2 linked regions of the Kluyveromyces lactis genome follow. The protein of the gene in region 1 interacts with the protein of each later gene in a pairwise test. Links are inferred from orthologs where the notes say so. Each region holds a gene or a part of one and is shown on either strand. Other genes may lie near its edges.

Region 1 (8,810 bases):
AGGAACAATACCGTTTCATCTCAAATTACTGGCCCTTCTAACGTCAACGGGTTGGTCCCAAATGTCGGCAATGTTTGGTTCCCTAACGATATGAGTGTGAATCCAATGTCTCCTCCTGGCATTCAAACAACTACTAATCCAACTAATGTCAATAATAATAATAATAATAACAACAGCCATTTAGCACCAGGTACGTATAGTCCTTATGAGGCAACTGGTAACTATTTCGATCTGAACACAAGTTCTAATAACATTAATAACTTGGGTGTACCTGGAGCAACAACAGCTGGTGCCCATCAGTTCCAATCTCAACAAATTGGAGGGGTTTGGAATTCGAGACCTAGGTCTCAATCAAATGCGTCCAGTATCTATACCGACGCTCCAACCTACGACCAGATGGATACTAGATCTAGGGCTTCTACTTTCATTATACCACCTTCTATGGATCCACAACTAAAAGCCACTGCTGCTTCTACCAACCCAATTGTTCAAGATGACATGGATTCCAGATCGATCAATTGGGTGACAACTGATCCATCAGTACCATCGATCAACCACATTTCAAACTTATTACCAACTAATACCATATCCATCTCTAATGTCTTTTCATTGCAACAGCAGCAGCCTCATTTGTCCAATACTGTCAATTTGACGAGTACAAGTTTGGCAACGTTGTGCTTGAAATTTGGAACTGTCATTTCAGCACGGACCTTGAGGGGCGTTAATATGGCAATTGTTGAATTTGCCTCTGTGGAAGCTGCCATCAAGGCAAAAGAGGCTTTGAATGGTAAAGAAGTATCTCTAGTCGGTGCTCCAAGTACTGTTTCCTTTGCAAAAGTCTTACCTATGCATCAACAACTACCTCAGACTCAGCAAACTCAACAGCAAAATAACCATCAATCTACTGCCATCAACCCTCAGTCCCTGCTACAAGAACAGTTATTCTCAGGCGCAGTCCAATTCCAACAGCAAGGTAACGTATCCGTTCCTTCTTTTACTGGCAATACGCACGCACAATCGAGCTCTCAAGCATTTGTGTCACCTACCAATCCATCCTCAAGTAATTCTGAGAAGGAACAATGTCCATTCCCACTACCACCACCATCTTTCAAGGAGAATATCACTTTGTTGAACGATACTATTAATAAGTTTGGTATCAATTATGATACATCTCAGTACCAGCATATCATTGCAAACGCAATTGAATACAATGGAACAAGTGATACTACTGATTTCGGTCCATTACCTGAGCCCTTATCTACAAGGGAGTTCGATGCCCCAAGGCTTCGTGAATTACGAAAAAGTATTGATTCTGGACAAATGTCAGATTTGGAAATTGAACAGCTAGTTCTAGCTATGTTGGATGAAATACCAGAACTGAGTTCGGACTATTTAGGTAATACTATAGTACAGAAACTATTTGAACATGCCTCTTCCGTCATTAAAGATATTATGTTAAGAAAGACAAGCGTATATTTGACATCGATGGGTGTACACAAGAATGGTACTTGGGCATGTCAAAAGATGATTACAAACGCAGATACCCCAAGACAAAAAATGTATGTGGCAAACGGAGTCTATAAGTATTGTACCCCATTGTTCAACGATCAATTTGGTAACTACGTTATTCAATGTGTGTTGAAGTTTGGTTTCCCTTGGAACAACTTTATCTTCGAGAATATTGTTTCCAACTTCTGGAATATCGTGCAAAATAGATATGGAGCTCGTGCAGTCAGAGCTTGTTTGGAAGCCCATGACATAATTACTCAAGAACAACTCTTATTACTTAGTGCTATGATTGTGTTTTTTGTGAAATATTTAGCCACCAATAGCAATGGGGCCCTTTTGGTTACGTGGTTCTTAGACACTTGTACTTTGCCAAAAAGACACTCAATACTTGCTGAGGCATTATTACCAAATATTTTCGAATTAGGGTGTCATAAGCTTGCCTCATTAACAATTTTGAAAATCTTGAACTATCGTGGTGATGAAGTTGCCAAAAGGGCTATATTAGATACTATCTTCGGCCCTATGGATAACGAAATATCTTCTAAACCACCTCAGCTCTTATATCAGTTGTTGAGTGACACGAATTATGGACCATCTTTTGTTTATAAAGTTTTGTCTATTCCTATGTTGGAAGGAGACGTTAGACACCATGTTATCGAACAAGTTCGCTACATTTTGACCACAGAATCTAATATCACACAGCATCGCAGACTCTTGGAAGAAGTGGGCTTGAATGCAATAAACAATCAACCATCTACCGCTCAAACCAAGCCAAGAATGAGTATTTCCCATGTTTTTGGTAATGACCATCCTCAACATATGAGGACTGTTTCCGTCAACAGTGTCAGGTCGGCATCTTCTAGACCAAGAGCCTCCTCGAACGCACAATCTCAACAGCAACCCATCCAATCTTCTCAGGTCCAAGCTCAGTTACCTCAACAATCCCAATCTCAACCTCAGCATCAACCTCAGCAAGCGTCCATTTCTGGCATCTCTGGGCAAGCAAGCTACTACACCTACCCTGGCATGTTTCCCGCTTCACAACCGTATCAGTATTCCACGTCAACCAGTGGTCTGAATGATGATTTAGTGTCAAATTTTGATATGCTGACATTCAATAATGGCACGCAAATATCCTTGCCGCAACTAACAATGAATGGTCAACCACTCCCCCATTCTCAGAATAGACATCATAATGGACAGTTTGGTGATGGAATGTTCAACCACTGATTTGTTCACGAGCTATTGTTACATACTAATAATATTAAAAAAAAAAAGAAAATGTGGCACGTAAGACGCTAAAGTATCCTGTGGGGAACATCCCTGTATAATAAGAACCTCCCCTCGCTTCCCTCTCATCTATTTCTCACCTTCTGTTTCATGATCAAAAACTTACACAATTATTGCAAACGACTCCTGATCCTACTTATGTTATTCCAGGATGATGATTTTTACGACCTAAAACCTATTAAAACAAGCTTGCAGCACAAACTGCTGTCTCGATCGATGACTTCATACACTTTCGTCTCATAATATAGATATAACTTCTCCTTTTCATCTTTTAAATGTACATAAATATATTATATATACCTCGATCTTCAAAGTTTATTCTTCTCAGCTTCCTCTAGTTTGACAGTATTCGTCTTCTGTGATACTTCTTAGTATATTTTGCGTAATTTCTATGTCACAAAAAAAGGTAACCGCTCTCTCCTTGCTGATTAAACGTTTTATGTGATAAAATACAGGTCCAATTAAGTGGAGCCAATAGTAGATGAAACTCAAAAGGAAGTATTTGTACTATTTTGAGTGATACTTAAAATTGCTACGCTACAATGGACCCACAGCAACCGGCATCCGATAATTCTGAATGGCAGTTTCAGGTCAGTCCTGGCGCTGCTTGGAATTTAAGAGCACAAGCCAGGAGGGGCCAGACAGGCAGCAGGGATGCAATTCCGTTAAGAGTGGATGAGCTGACGGATGAGAATGAGCTTAATTGGGAGGCTCTTAATAATAGGAATCTTAGCATTCTTGGAAACGATACCCTTTCTGATATTTTCAGATCAAATCAACTGATCAATAACGGAACTAACGATAATAATAGTAATAACAATATCGACGGTGAAATACTGAATACTACAGGAACTGACGAAGATAACAGAAGAAGTACTGATATAGATAATAATACCGCTGACCATTTCGAAGAATTGACGCGGGGAGCTGCTCGTGAAGCTAACTTATCGAGGGAAAGTGCTCATGTATCTTCTGGTCTGCCTGCTGACTGGTTTACTACCATGAATCCTAGTAAACTGTCTTTACACCAAAGACCATTTTTGGCTAGAGAGCGGAAATCCGCCCTTAGTGGCATTGCACAAATTGAAGATGATTTAAGACAGTTGTTTGAAAACATAGAAAAAGAAGGATGGAAATTACCACCGATCGAAGGTGATTCTGAACAATTACAAGAATATTTTGATAAACACAAAATCGATATGAGGGCAAGACAAAATATTGAGAATTTTGTTCTCAAAATGCAAAAAGAAGCATTAGATGACAGCTCTAACTGGACCGAAAAGGAAGCGTTGTTGGATTTCTTACTGAAGCAAGTCCAACTTACACCAGAAGACACTACAGCATTAAGTGAAATTGTCGAACTTTCAAGATACAGATTTAAATTTGCATTAGGTATTATAGAATTAAGAAAAAACTATCTTAAGGAGTCTTTGCAGCTAGGAATCCAGCGACTTCGTGACCTAAACTATTCAGCATTTTTAGCGGAGAGTAATTTGTCGACGGAAGTTGTTGAACATCTAAAATCAACAATTATGAAACAGCAAAGAGTTATTTTAAGGGCAATCGAAATGGAACTCTATTCTCTACATTCCTATCAAGAAAAATATTCGGAAATTATCAAAAGGATGGCGAGATCGATACATGACTACTATAAAAGAAAGAATACCAACCCTAACGTACCAAATCCTATTTATTACTATCGCGATTTGTTTTTGAAATACTCTCCTTGGACAAAAAGAGGATTGGACTTGGCTTTATATGATATGCATGTCTCAGAAGAGGAATGGAAGTTTATGTCTAATCACGTGAGAAGCCAGTTGCCCCAGATGCTCTCAATGGTTTCTAAAGATAATGCATTATATACCAGAATCAAAACACCAAAGAACACTTTCCCGTTATCTGATCTTCCTCATGAAATCCTAGCAATGGTTTTAGAAGCAAAAAGTCAAAAAGCCAATATTGTTCCCTTAATGGCTGTTTCTAAGGCTTGGGCTGAAGTCATTGCAAAACTCATATATTATCGTCCCCATATCAATAAACAGCAGCAATTGAATTCTTTTTTGATTACCATGAGCAAGCCTAAGGAAGAGACGCTATTTGATTACAGGAGCTTGATAAAACGTTTAAATTTTTCATTCGTTGGTGACTATATGACAGATAGAAAACTAGAACATTTCATTGGGTGTCCTAACCTTGAAAGACTTACTTTGGTTTTCTGTAAATATATTACAACCAAATCTGTGGCAAAAGTTTTAAAGGGTTGTCAATATTTACAAAGTGTCGACATAACTGGTATTCATCACATTAGAGATGATTTGTTTGAAGTATTAGCATCGGATTGTGAGAGGATTCAGGGACTTTATGTTCCTCATTCAAACGATGTCTCACCTAATGCTATCTCGAATTTTATCACTCACGCGCCGATGTTAAAACGTGTCAAAATAACTTTTAATCAATCTATTGAAAATGATTTGGTGATGAAAATGGTCAAATGTTGTCCATTTCTCGTAGAGGTGGATTTAACGTCAACACCGAATATTGATAATCATGGCTTGGTTACGCTATTCACCTCTTTACCTCAATTAAGAGAAATCAGAGTCACGCATAACACGAACATCACCGATGAGTTTATGTTGGCGGTTTCTCAGGAAACCATGGGATTACCTGCATTAAGACTAGTCGACTTCTCTGGTTGCGAAAACATCACGGACAAGACAATTGATAAACTTGTTACTTTAGCACCCAAGCTAAGAAACTTATTTTTGGGGAAATGCAGCCGTATCACAGATTCCGCTCTAAAGTCGTTGGCAAGATTGGGAAAAAATATACAGACAATGCATTTTGGTCACTGTTTCAATATTTCAGATGAAGGTGTCAGGGTTTTAGTAAGCAATTGCCCCAAGATTCAATATATCGATTTTGCTTGTTGCACCAATTTGACAAACAAAACCCTTTACGAACTCGCTGAGTTGCCCAAACTTAAAAGAATAGGTATGGTTAAGTGCTCTCAGATTACAGATGAGGGACTTTTAACAATGATAAGCATTCGCGGAAGGAATGACACGTTAGAGAGAGTCCATCTATCTTACTGTACCAGTCTAACGATCTATCCTATATATGAATTGTTGATGGCATGCCCCAAGTTATCGCACTTATCGCTAACTGCAGTTCCATCTTTTCTTCGTCCCGATATCACGCAGTTTTGTCGTTCTCCCCCCAGTGAATTTACCGCTAATCAAAGGCAGATATTCTGTGTATTTTCCGGAAAGGGCGTTCATAAGTTGCGTCATCATTTAATGGGTATTCATGAACCTACCGATGGACCTAGCACCAAATCTGACGAAATTTTCATCAGCTTTTTAAAAAACAAAAACGCAATACAGTCTGACACTATTGAAGATGAGGATCTTGAAAGGTTATCCCATAACGCCGATCTTGATTCTGCCGCATTGTTTGCAGCTTCTGCAGTCTTCAATTTCGCTAATGAGCCTTTTAACCAAATTGAATTTGCTCATCTTGACCATGTATTCTCATCCATGCTGATAACTTCTGAAGATGAGCATGTTGTAAGCTCTGCTGATCTTACTGCACTGGAAGATTTCGACCGATCTTTTTACGATAATCCGCTTGATCCAAGGTTTACGGATAGATATGTTACGGTTGCACCACCGGCTTCTTCTAATATTAATAATGAACTCGCTGATGTTATAAGGAAATTCCGTAAAATATTGAATCGTGTGTTAGATTTTGAAGTCAATGTCGCCAGTTTATGCAGGATCCAATTCCAATATTGTGGTACGTTAATTGCAGAAATGTCTTCGATTTACATAACATTCGTCGATTTAAACAGATATATCTCAGAAATATATCAGAGAATTAAAGCTTCAGAAGAGCCAAAAGACCTCTTAGGATTTGTGCTGTGGAAAAAGTGGTGGTCACCTTGCTTCAAGGATTTAATGAGAAATTTTAAGATTACAGCTTTAGTGTTGAGAATTTACGTGAAGGAAAGTTTGACAGTACTTACCCGTCAAAGAGAATTGGTTTTACAACGTGCCAGGGAAACATGGGACAGAGAGGCTGCTAATGATCTTCCTGACGGAGAGGGAGATATTGACATGGGTGTCAATATGCTATTACCACCAGGAGGAACTGTGGCTGAAGAAACTGATAACAATGATAATAATATAGATTTGAGGCTCTTCTTACCTCCCGGAAACGAACAGAATAGAGAAACTCCGGATGATCAAATCATTGAGGAGTAACTCAAGTTAAGTGAAGAAATTAGCACGGAGAAATATGATCGTAGTGTCGATGATAATGATAACAATTATAATACTAATAATACTAATACAATTTTTCGACGCCGTTGTTTGGTCAATCGATATATGTAGAAACCCCTATGTTTGTGTCTCTGTTTTTATGTAGTTGACGTATTTCGTCAGAAGTCAATATTAAACCTATTAGCAAACTCAAGCAAGACGGAGTCGTCATCGATTTGCTGTATGAATTCCTTTGCTGTTGAGAATTGTCGTTGTAATGTCTCTATTTTTGTATTAATGGTGGTTTCAAAAGATTCAAAAATCTCCTTTCCTTTCTGATCAATCCAGTTCTTGAAGTTCAGGGCAAGCTCCTCATTAGGCATGCTGTTTATGAAAAAAGTCAGCTCACCCGTTAAATCAGAAGCCAATGAAGCATCAATTCTATTCATGTACAATAACAGATCGCTGAAATACTTATTAAGTGTTAAGACATCCTCACTCAAGGAAGTTAGCTCACTGTTATGTAATACGTTCCATTTTGGTAGGCTTTCAATAGGAGTGGTCTGCGTTATTGATTCTGCATCTTGGTATTTTTGATCCAGATGTGGGTGATCCGTAGAATGGTTAGAATTGTTAATGACAGCTTTAGTGTCCACGTCTGGTGAGGAGGGAAATGGTGCGAAAGATACTTTTGGCTTGTTGGAGGGCGATACATCTGGTGTTCCTTGCCCGTTGACATCTTGGAATGTTAAAGATAAAGACCATTCATCTGATAATCGGTTTGAAGTTCTTCGCTCCGTGTTATCCGCACCCAAATTGTTAGCGTGACTTTCGACTAGCTCATTGCTAATATCGGCACCCTGTTCCATTCTATTTTGAGCTCTTGAAACGTCATTGGCGAGTTCTGGCTCATCTATTGGATTCTGCTTAGGCCGAAGCAAATCTCGTTCACGATCTGGTAAACTTTGAACAGGTGATGAATGAACTCCGTCCTGGTTGTCATTGGGAGAGTAATCACTATCATTTTCACTTTCATCGCTGAATGCTATATCAGTATCAATAAGTTCCAGTTGCTCTTTTAAAGGCTTCATTGGGCTTGATTTTTCGGTTTTATTCTTTTTACTGCTCTGAGCAGGGAACGCCTCTTCAGGTATCACAAAGTTGCTCGTTCCATTGTTGTCAAAACTGAAGACATCATAACTGTCATCCAAGATTGTGTTGGGTTTTGTGGCTTTTTCTTTGTTCTTCTTAAAGTCTAAGAAAACATCTTTATTCTTTTCAACAGATTGCATAAATGAAGTTTCTCCCACCTGGGAACCCTTGGAGTCATTAATCCCTAATTGAGCTGCTGTCTTCGCAAGTTTTATTTTTTTCTTTGGAGAAGCTTCTAATTGATCCTTTTGTTGCATTCTGCAACTTATAATGTCATTTAGTGTCCATTGATTTTCAGGTAACTTTTCGGTGTTAGAAGCAGATTGATTTTTATCTTTATTGTCTTTGTCCTTTGGTGGACGCCCTCTGGGTCTTTTTATCTTTGGCTCCGCAGTCTCATCTCGTAATTTTTTTGGTCTTCCTCTTTTCCGAGGTGCTTGTGTCTGAATTGCGCTGTCAGTGCCTCTTTGAAGTTGATCAGATGCTGTGTTATCACCAAACTCTATTCGGCCCTTATCTGCTCGATGATCTGATTGTACTTTTTCGAGCGGGTCAACTTCAGGTTTATAAGAGTCATCTGATGATAATGATGTTGAACCT
Region 2 (8,684 bases), on another chromosome or scaffold:
AGGACTCCACAAATACTGTCGCAGAACTCTTCCAAAAAGGTATTCAATTAAATGCAGTAGAATTATTGGATTCAAGCATGATGAAATGTATTAATTACAGCAATTTGGTGAGCAAAAAATATGATAATGTACCTACTTTGTTCTTCAAGATTTCAGGATTGAACAAAACCGTGGTACAAGAATATGTCAAGCAAGTTAAACAAATTTCTCAGGATAATCACTGTTCCAAATTCGAATTTGCAAAGAACGAACAAGAGGCAGAGGAGCTTTTTTCAACTAGAAAGAATGCTTTATATCTAATGTTGGACTATGCCTTCAATGAAATTGATGAAAACGCAAAGATGTGGATCACAGATTGTGCAGTGCCACTTTCCAATCTTGCAGCTACTCTCGAAGAATTGGATAAAATCACAGCAACTTACCCTCTAACTCATATGACCTTGGGTCATGTTGGTGACGGGAATATCCACTATGATATTTTCTATGAACCGGATCAGTTTGAAATTTGCAAACAGCTGGTAGCTGAAATCAATGCTGTTACTCTTAAAAATGAAGGTACGTGTTCTGGGGAGCATGGTATTGGAACTGGTAAAAGAAAGTTTTTGGAGGATGAATTAGGATCAGATACTGTCGATCTAATGCGGAAAGTAAAGTTAGCTATAGATCCAAAGAGACTGTTGAATCCAGATAAAGTACTCAAGATCGATCCCTTAGATCCTAGTAACGAATGAAACCACCAACCACAAAAAGGAAAAGATACCAGAGGTGTGAAGCCTCGTATCCTCTGAGAACGCGATCTATAGACTACTAATTTATTTTATTTATATACAGTTGAACTTTTAATGATATTATTATTACTATAGTCATCATTCATTCTATCATTGCCTTCGATCCAAAGTGTTCATCGGCAATATGATTGACAACTATCCAACCGAATGAATTAACAAACCTGCGACGAACAATGATGTTATTATGGGAATCAGGCTGTAGCTCAACGATGACCTTTCTCCAGTCCATTGTCTCCTGCCAGTACCTTGCTATTCGTTCTTCTTTCATATGGATCGAGTAATTGGGATATATTATCTTTTTCACAAGCTTCTTATGTTTGTAGTGTTTATCTGGTAATTCTTCCGGGGTATAAACCTTGTCATGAATAATTCTGTCCGTTCTACTGGAGGGATCCACTAGGTACGACATTCCTGGCAGCGGTGCCGATATTGTACTTGCAGCAGCTTGCAATGTATTTGCCTTTTTTGGAGGTTTGAAAGTAGTTGGAGAGTCAGAATTATTGTTCGAATCACTACTGGCAGATTCTACCGAACTGGTAGTTTGAGTCCGCACATACGGTTTATATTTTTCCTTTTTAATGAGTGACTGGGGCAGCAACCATTGGAGAATAGACTTATTGTCCGAAGAGCTCTCTGGAATTTCCCCCAAAGATGACCCTTTCTGTTCTTCAACTCCCTCCTCAGATTGGGCATTGTTTTCGCTCCTCACCTGTTGCACATCACTTAAACCTCTCCAATCAAGATATAGTAAAGCAGCCGTCCTTAGAGGCACTATACCATCAAATGCGACATTAGCATACACGGTTCTACACTTGAATCGTTGGAAAACTTCTAACGCCGGATGTTTAGGTAAAAGCTCTAATATGGGTTTAGATTTGATTCTATCATGTGATCCATCATTATTTACAATACCTTTTGATGGCAGAAAATAGCTGCGCTTCAATGTGAGATCCCTTCCAGTCTGTCCCAAAGCGCCAATGTCCAGCACGATAGATATGTATTTGGGCAAATCTCCAATGACTCCGAGGAATGGGCTCGCCGCCGCCACAAAATTGACGGGTGTCAAGCCTGTGGTCTTGTCAAATATGTCTGGTCGTTCGACAGAGATATAGTGAATGGCCATAGCTTGCACGGGTCCTCCCAAAGAGTGACCTACAAATGAGATTCTTGTTAAGGTGAATTGCTGTTGAAGTTTATCGATGGTATCGATTATATATTCTGCCAACTTGAATCCTAGATGCCGTATACCTTTATGAGACTTCCCGACGTTTCCAGGATACCCTCTTATTACAAGATTGCCATTATTATCATCTGGCAAAAAGTTCGACGCTCGTTCAATGGTGTCTTTTAAGCAAAGCATATCTCCGCCAATAGAAGAGAAGATGCCATGTGTAATAATTACGAGATGAACTGGCTTATCTGGAAATGGCGGAGGTAAATTCCACAACTGTTCAGTGTCAAGTTTGGAAATTTTCAACCCATCAGTCTGCTGAACTTCTATATTCTTGTCTTTCTGGGAATGTTTAGCAGTTTTGTATGTTGTAGCTAGCGTGAAGACGAATGGAAGCCTTACAATGGTAACGACAGTGAACTGGGCAATAAGGTCAATCTTCCAAGCATAACAAGAAGTACCGTCAACTCGAGCATTAGAATTGAGATAAAGTTTCGCTTTGAAATTCTCATCAGGCTTGAGGTCACTCATGAACTCAATTCCATCTCCTATGAATTGCTTTCTCTCGTCATAATTGTTCGGCGTTATTTCAACATAAATTGAGTATGGTCCAGTTATCCATAACGGCCTCAAAAGCGCGCTCTCCTGGTTTTTGAATTCGAGATAGAGAGTATCGTCAGTACACTCAATTCCGTCAGATAGTAGCTTATTTTTATCTACAATTATCTTATAGCGATTGACATCCCCGATACCAAGTGACCCTGTTTCCCTTAAAAGCAGAATACCACTATCTGATGACTCAGTGTCGTTCTCTTCAGTCAGTTTTATTGCCATCTTGGCATACGCCAACCACTGTTAGCAGAAGTACAGGTTATACTGCGTTTCCAATTGAGAGTGCGCCGCTAATCACGGGGGGTGCGTTTAGCTTTATGCTTTGGTACCTGTCATTCATTGTTTTGTATTGGCAATCTTTTTTGTTTTTGTTTTATAATGATCAAGCGATTCATTATTATAAGTAGTGATAACTCGAGATAAAATCGTATAATTTTAAAAGAAGGTAACTAGACAGCATCTCTTAACAAGTACGGATTTTTGAAGTACCGTTGCATCCTAATCAGTCTGACTATCCAGCTTACTTTTCATCAGAGCAACGGAAACCATGAAAAAGGAGGTTGGGGACGCATGTCGATTGGAGGACATCGTTACCAATTTATACAGGTTAGAAACTGTCAAACAAATAAACTATCACCAATATGTACCTAGCAAGGCAGATAATCAATGGTCAATTCAAGCAGAGTTGTTCCTAAGGAGGAAAAACCCCAAAGTACTTGCAGCTCTTTTTTCCAGGGAGTTATGGTGTTTTAGTATTAACGATGATCCATTACCAGAGTTAAACCTTGAGCTGAATAACGAATCGGAGTCACCCCAGCCAGAGCGGAAGGGTCACTTCACCCCAGAATTCTCAAAACCTCACTTGCCTACCCCATATGCCATCTTTATGAAGGCTCTCAGGCGTATGATATATGTCAATTTGACCCTATCCTCCAATGAAACCATCGTGCCCTTTGGAAACTCATGCATATTTCAGGAATCATATACCTTTTCGACCAAAATCTTACACTTTGATCCACATCTATTTGAAAATGGAGATTTGACTGTTGCAATTTGTTCCAAGGATTTGGGTTTATCGAAGTTGAATGCAGAGAGCCTCAAACATGAAGTGGCTGTGTATTTGGCTCCATCTGGGATCAGAGTGTATTTACCATCCACAGATTTAAAGAAATGTTATGTATCACCACCCAAAAACGCTCAAATGTTTCTCAAGACACTATTTGTCTCCCATGGAATAAATTTAATCGATGTCGACGGTTTGAAATGGGTAAAGCTTATTCCAAATGCTAACCATTTGAATGGCTTCACTCCAACAATATCACATTATCTTGACGAACCAAAAGGAAATAATTTCGTTATCTGGCCGGCATGTCTCTGTTTTGTACAAACAGCATCTGACGTTCAAACTCCTCAATATACTGCATTTTCAAGATCCCCGCAGCTTGAGTTAGATGATTGTTTCGATATGATAGATGGATTTATACAGTTAAAACTCACTTCGGCCTACAGAACGCCTGGAACATCTGCAGGGATGGGAACTGTAACCGGACATAACCCATTAAGTACGGGAGGAATATTTACTGATCAGTTTCAAGGGTTTAATAAGCATTCGGCCAATAACAGCAATAACGTATCTTCAACGGGAGAGAATGGTAAGTTTTCTCCGGAATACTCTAATGATCCAAACGTAACACCTCTGCGAGATAATAAAACTAGTAGACAGAATTTCCCCACAGAGAGTTACAGCAGTAATGGTTTCATTACAACTCCAATAATAAATGAGAATATCACTCCAACCGTTGATGATATTATAACAGAAACTCCTTCCGTAAAACCTCAGAACGATCTTTGGAATGAGAAAAAGGATGTAATAAATAGTACATCCAATATCAACTCAAAGGACGCATCAGTAGGTAGTTCTGAGCGTAAAGTAGAACTGGAAACCGCTTTTGAATCTCCCGCTCAGAATATTTCGATAGAGGAACACGAGCATGTAGAATTCGACAAAGATCTTTTTGGTGAAGATAGCGACGAAGATGTCAGTACGCGAAATAAGAACGAAGAACTGGTATCTGTAAAAGAGATTACTGACGAAATGTTTGATCTAGCCGAAGATGACGATGAGGCTGACGGATCAACTAGTAACTCGTTAAAGTTTGATCGTCCCGACACCATCGAGTCTATTGATACTGACGAAAAGAAGACAAGAACAAAGCGTACCTATTTGGACATACCAGTGGATGTCATTACTATAGAAAAGACACCTACATTATACGAAGATCCAGGAGCACCTTTGCCTATTGAAACCCCAAAAGACAGAAAGAAAAGTATATTCGCACCACTCAATTTCAACCCCATCTTTGAAAGTAATGTGGATAACAAGTACAAGAATGGAGGTAAGTTTTCTGTTAACTCGAACACCAATGACGAACCAATACAATTTGGGATAAGTACAAGTAATATATCAAGCTCAGAAGATGATGATAGCGATTTTTCTCCTGCTGATTTCAACAATAATGGACCATCTGCAGGAAAGGGCTTATCATATGATCCAAGAGACAATGATATACCAATGATCGAGTCATCAACATACGAACCTATTGCAAAGGACTCTCTTCCCGAATTGATAAACCCACCATCTTCTTCCAAAGATGATTCTGTGGCATCTTATAATACGATCGGAACTCTAATGGAAAAACCTGTTAAGTCCAACTTAGACGCAATATGGAAGCCCGCCTTAAGTAAATCAGAAAGAGCTGATCTACCAAACCAGACAATTAATGGGGTCATAAACGACTGCAATAACAGCTCAAACTCAAATCCCACAACTTACTTTGAGAATACGCCTTCTCTCGGACCGGATACTCTATATGATAATTCAAAACCAAGAAGTTCATCAGCTAACTTTCTTTCCACGGTTGAAATCGACCCCAAAAGCGAACAAACTATTCAAACCGCAGAGCAAGAACAATCTGAATCATCTAGAATTCTCCCCTACCTTTTGAGACACATGCCTTTGTTCTCGTTGCCTGACGTGTTCCTTTGTCAGAATCCATCTTTGCCGCCCGGAAAAGACTTCGAGGATATTCTAGAGATTTTGACAGATCAGATAGTCTTCAATAATGATATGTTTTCTGATGATAGGGCAACAGAATCTCAGTTTAAAGGGATCAAGGATTGCTCCGTTGGCACCATCAGCGATACCATGAACCAGCTTTTTGGGAATTTTTCAAAGCTTCACGGAAACGAAATAATAGAGGAAGTCTTCTATTTGCCTGAACCATCAGTGTTTGTGAAGAAATCTGAAGATACAATTAAAATAAAAAGCTCATCGTGTTATTTCACGGAATATTTAAATCTGAAACCCAACCGTGGGGTAAAAAATTTCAGGGCCCTAGTGCTAACCACTGAGGCAAAAAATGATTGCATGTCTTTCGTATCACAAATGTCTCAGACATATTCGAATCATGAGTTAGGGTTCTGTGAACTGACTAAGTTGACTAATGACGATAATAAAGGGTTAATATACTTAAAAAATTTTAACCAAGACACCTTACTACTTCTTTCCGCACAGATTGTATCTTTCTGTTCAACAGCACTCTCAAATATTAAGAACATTCCTTTACTCATCTTTCTCCCCATCAACAAACTTTCATTAACAGAATGTATATCAATGATCCTCAAGTTTCATGTAATCAGGAAGGAGTTCAAATCTAAGTTACCAAAGGCAGATATTTTGTTGAGGCTCGTGAATATAGATTTCCTCAAAAATCCACTTACACCTATCACTGCGTACACTTCATTGTGTATGGCAATCTATAATAGTCTACCACCAAAAAGTACTAAGGTAACGTCCCTAACAAATGATTTACCCAAACAAATTGAGTTCCGGACACTGAAGAATGCCTCCTTATCTATCCATTACGATAACTACATCCATTTGGCATACTTGAGAAGTATTGATCGTGAGTGGCTGTGTGCTGCCTGGTCAGACACCAAAGGCGTCGAAAGCTTCGTGAAAACCTGGTATGTCGGTAACTCCAGAACTCGTTTCGAACAAGTGTGCAATGACATCTGGAAAATAACCCTACAATTGGCGTCTAAGAATTTTGGAAATGTTTGCTTGGTGTTGACAAGACTCGATAGTGTCCTTCCTGATGACGAATTGATCCATTGGAGACGTCTATCAGTCGCCACAAAAGATCTCCATCTTGCTGTGGTCTGTGTCGGAGATAACACGAAATTAACATTATTCGATGAGGACAAAACATACCCAACATTTAAAAACTTGTTCAGAACGAAATCGAATCCGCAGACAGGAATATCAAACAGTATAGACGATCTTGAGATAATTAACATTGATGAGGAAGTCCATGGACTAATATTCAGTAACCCGTTGCAGCTAGCAAACTCCCAGCATAGATGCGCCATCAAAAGTGGAGCATTGATTCGTTTTGCAAAAAGCGAAGGCGATAACTTCATTGATAAATTTGAGGTAAATCTTTTGAACTGCCCTCATGCAGACAGTTCAACACTTTTGAAGGAAATCTTAAAACAATACAGAAACTTGGCAGGTTTGAATCCATGGTTCGGAGTATCCTATGGAAAAGATAATTTCATTCCGTGGCATGTCGTTGCAGTAAAAAATGTCATGAACTCTATTGTACATGTTAAGAGCTCATTCGAAAAGGAGACCCATATTATTGATTAGTTTGAATAGATAAAGTAATATTAATAGGTCTGCTCGAACAAGGGTATCACGTCTTTCACATCCATGAAAGAGTTCGGAGACTTCGCAAATGTGGTCAAAACTCTCAGAAGTTCTTCAAAGTTCCCTTGTGGATGAGTAGTTATGATTAACCTAGTCAATATAATTATGCAAAAATCCATCTGTATTCTCCGCTTCGAAATTCGAGAACGGTTGAATGCCGCAGACCTGTCTATGGCTCTGAGCAATTTCATTAATTCTGAAGTCACTTCTTCAAAATTCGACATCTTGTTAACAATGTTGAAAGTCCGCCTTGGCTCAACATTACTAAACGCCTTATTCAATAACTTTTCAACCAATGTTGTTATCAAATTTCTGTCCTTTTCTACATCGCATGAGAGGAAGAACTGTTTGAACGAACTAATTTTTAAATCACTATACAGTGCATCAACAATTGTGCCATACAATGCGTCAAGTGTGAATGGGTAGCTCTGTAAATGTCTTTCATAACGATCCAAGAATCTTACGAAGACACAAAGTGTATCCTTTCTGACATCCATTGAAAATGCTGCTCGATAGTCCTTATCTTCGTGAAATTGATTGAAAGAAGCATTTGATGTAGAGGGATCATTTAGTGAGGGGGAAACAGGGTACAATATTTCGCACTCAACACAACCAACAAAGAGATATTGAACAAGCCCTTTCAATTGATTTTTTTTATCAACAGCTTCTAATAATCTAAATATAGGGGATTTTTCTATGGTCTCCGTCTTAGAGTCGATGTAATAATCCTGCCGAAGTTCATAGATAATAAAGATTAATTTGAAAACACTTAACCATGCTTTGGCCAGCTCGTAGTCCCAATCTGTTTTTTGGTCCTCATTTTCATGTCCTATCATAAATGTAGACAATGCCCAACTAAAACCGTTCCAAAAAGAACCCTCTTGTGATAAGGCACTATGCACCATCGTTGTTTTGAAGACGCTGGTGTCATCGCCTATAAGATTGATATAAGAACCATACAATGGCTCCACCGAGAGAAGAGATCCGCCTTCTGCCGATCGAGATGATAGCTTGAATGATCGCCGGGTAGCCCTGCTACTCTGTGCATTTAGCGGATCTAGGACCAACGCCCGACCATTTTCTGGTCTGATGCTATCAATAAAGTAAAAAAACTGACAGCGCAGCAGCTCTAAATCGTATATTTCATATAAATCGGTATCAAATGTCTGTAATATATCAAGTAAAGTCTCTAGAAGTTTCATGCTCCTTCTTGTTAATAATTCCCTCCCAGTGTCAAACGGATCTGCCTTTTTTATTAGCGAACCCTTATTGTGATCTCCGATGGAAGCTAACGTGAAAAGTACAGCAATTACCTCACTTGGAATAACAGGAAACCGACCCA

The links. The genes of interacting proteins can lie anywhere in the genome.
Region 2: the proteins of GRR1 (region 1) and SSN2 interact in a two-hybrid assay, tested with the Saccharomyces cerevisiae proteins (2 studies listed by BioGRID). The link is inferred for Kluyveromyces lactis from reciprocal best matches to the Saccharomyces cerevisiae genes GRR1 and SSN2.

Annotation. Positions count from the first base shown.
Region 1 is NC_006041.1:542,538-551,347, forward strand, and holds GRR1 (SCF ubiquitin ligase complex subunit GRR1), read left to right. Parts: upstream 1-3,341; coding exon 3,342-7,061; downstream 7,062-8,810. Other genes in the region: JSN1 (Jsn1p), read left to right, coding at 1-2,739; BIR1 (survivin), read right to left, coding at 7,238-8,810. UniProt on the Saccharomyces cerevisiae protein: Substrate recognition component of a SCF (SKP1-CUL1-F-box protein) E3 ubiquitin-protein ligase complex which mediates the ubiquitination and subsequent proteasomal degradation of target proteins.
Region 2 is NC_006038.1:104,818-113,501, reverse strand, and holds SSN2 (Ssn2p), read left to right. Parts: upstream 1-3,118; coding exon 3,119-7,282; downstream 7,283-8,684. Other genes in the region: KLLA0_B01397g (FAD-binding oxidoreductase), read left to right, coding at 1-731; KLLA0_B01375g (putative hydrolase), read right to left, coding at 871-2,793; Smc5-Smc6 complex subunit NSE5, read right to left, coding at 7,303-8,684. UniProt on the Saccharomyces cerevisiae protein: Component of the SRB8-11 complex. The SRB8-11 complex is a regulatory module of the Mediator complex which is itself involved in regulation of basal and activated RNA polymerase II-dependent transcription.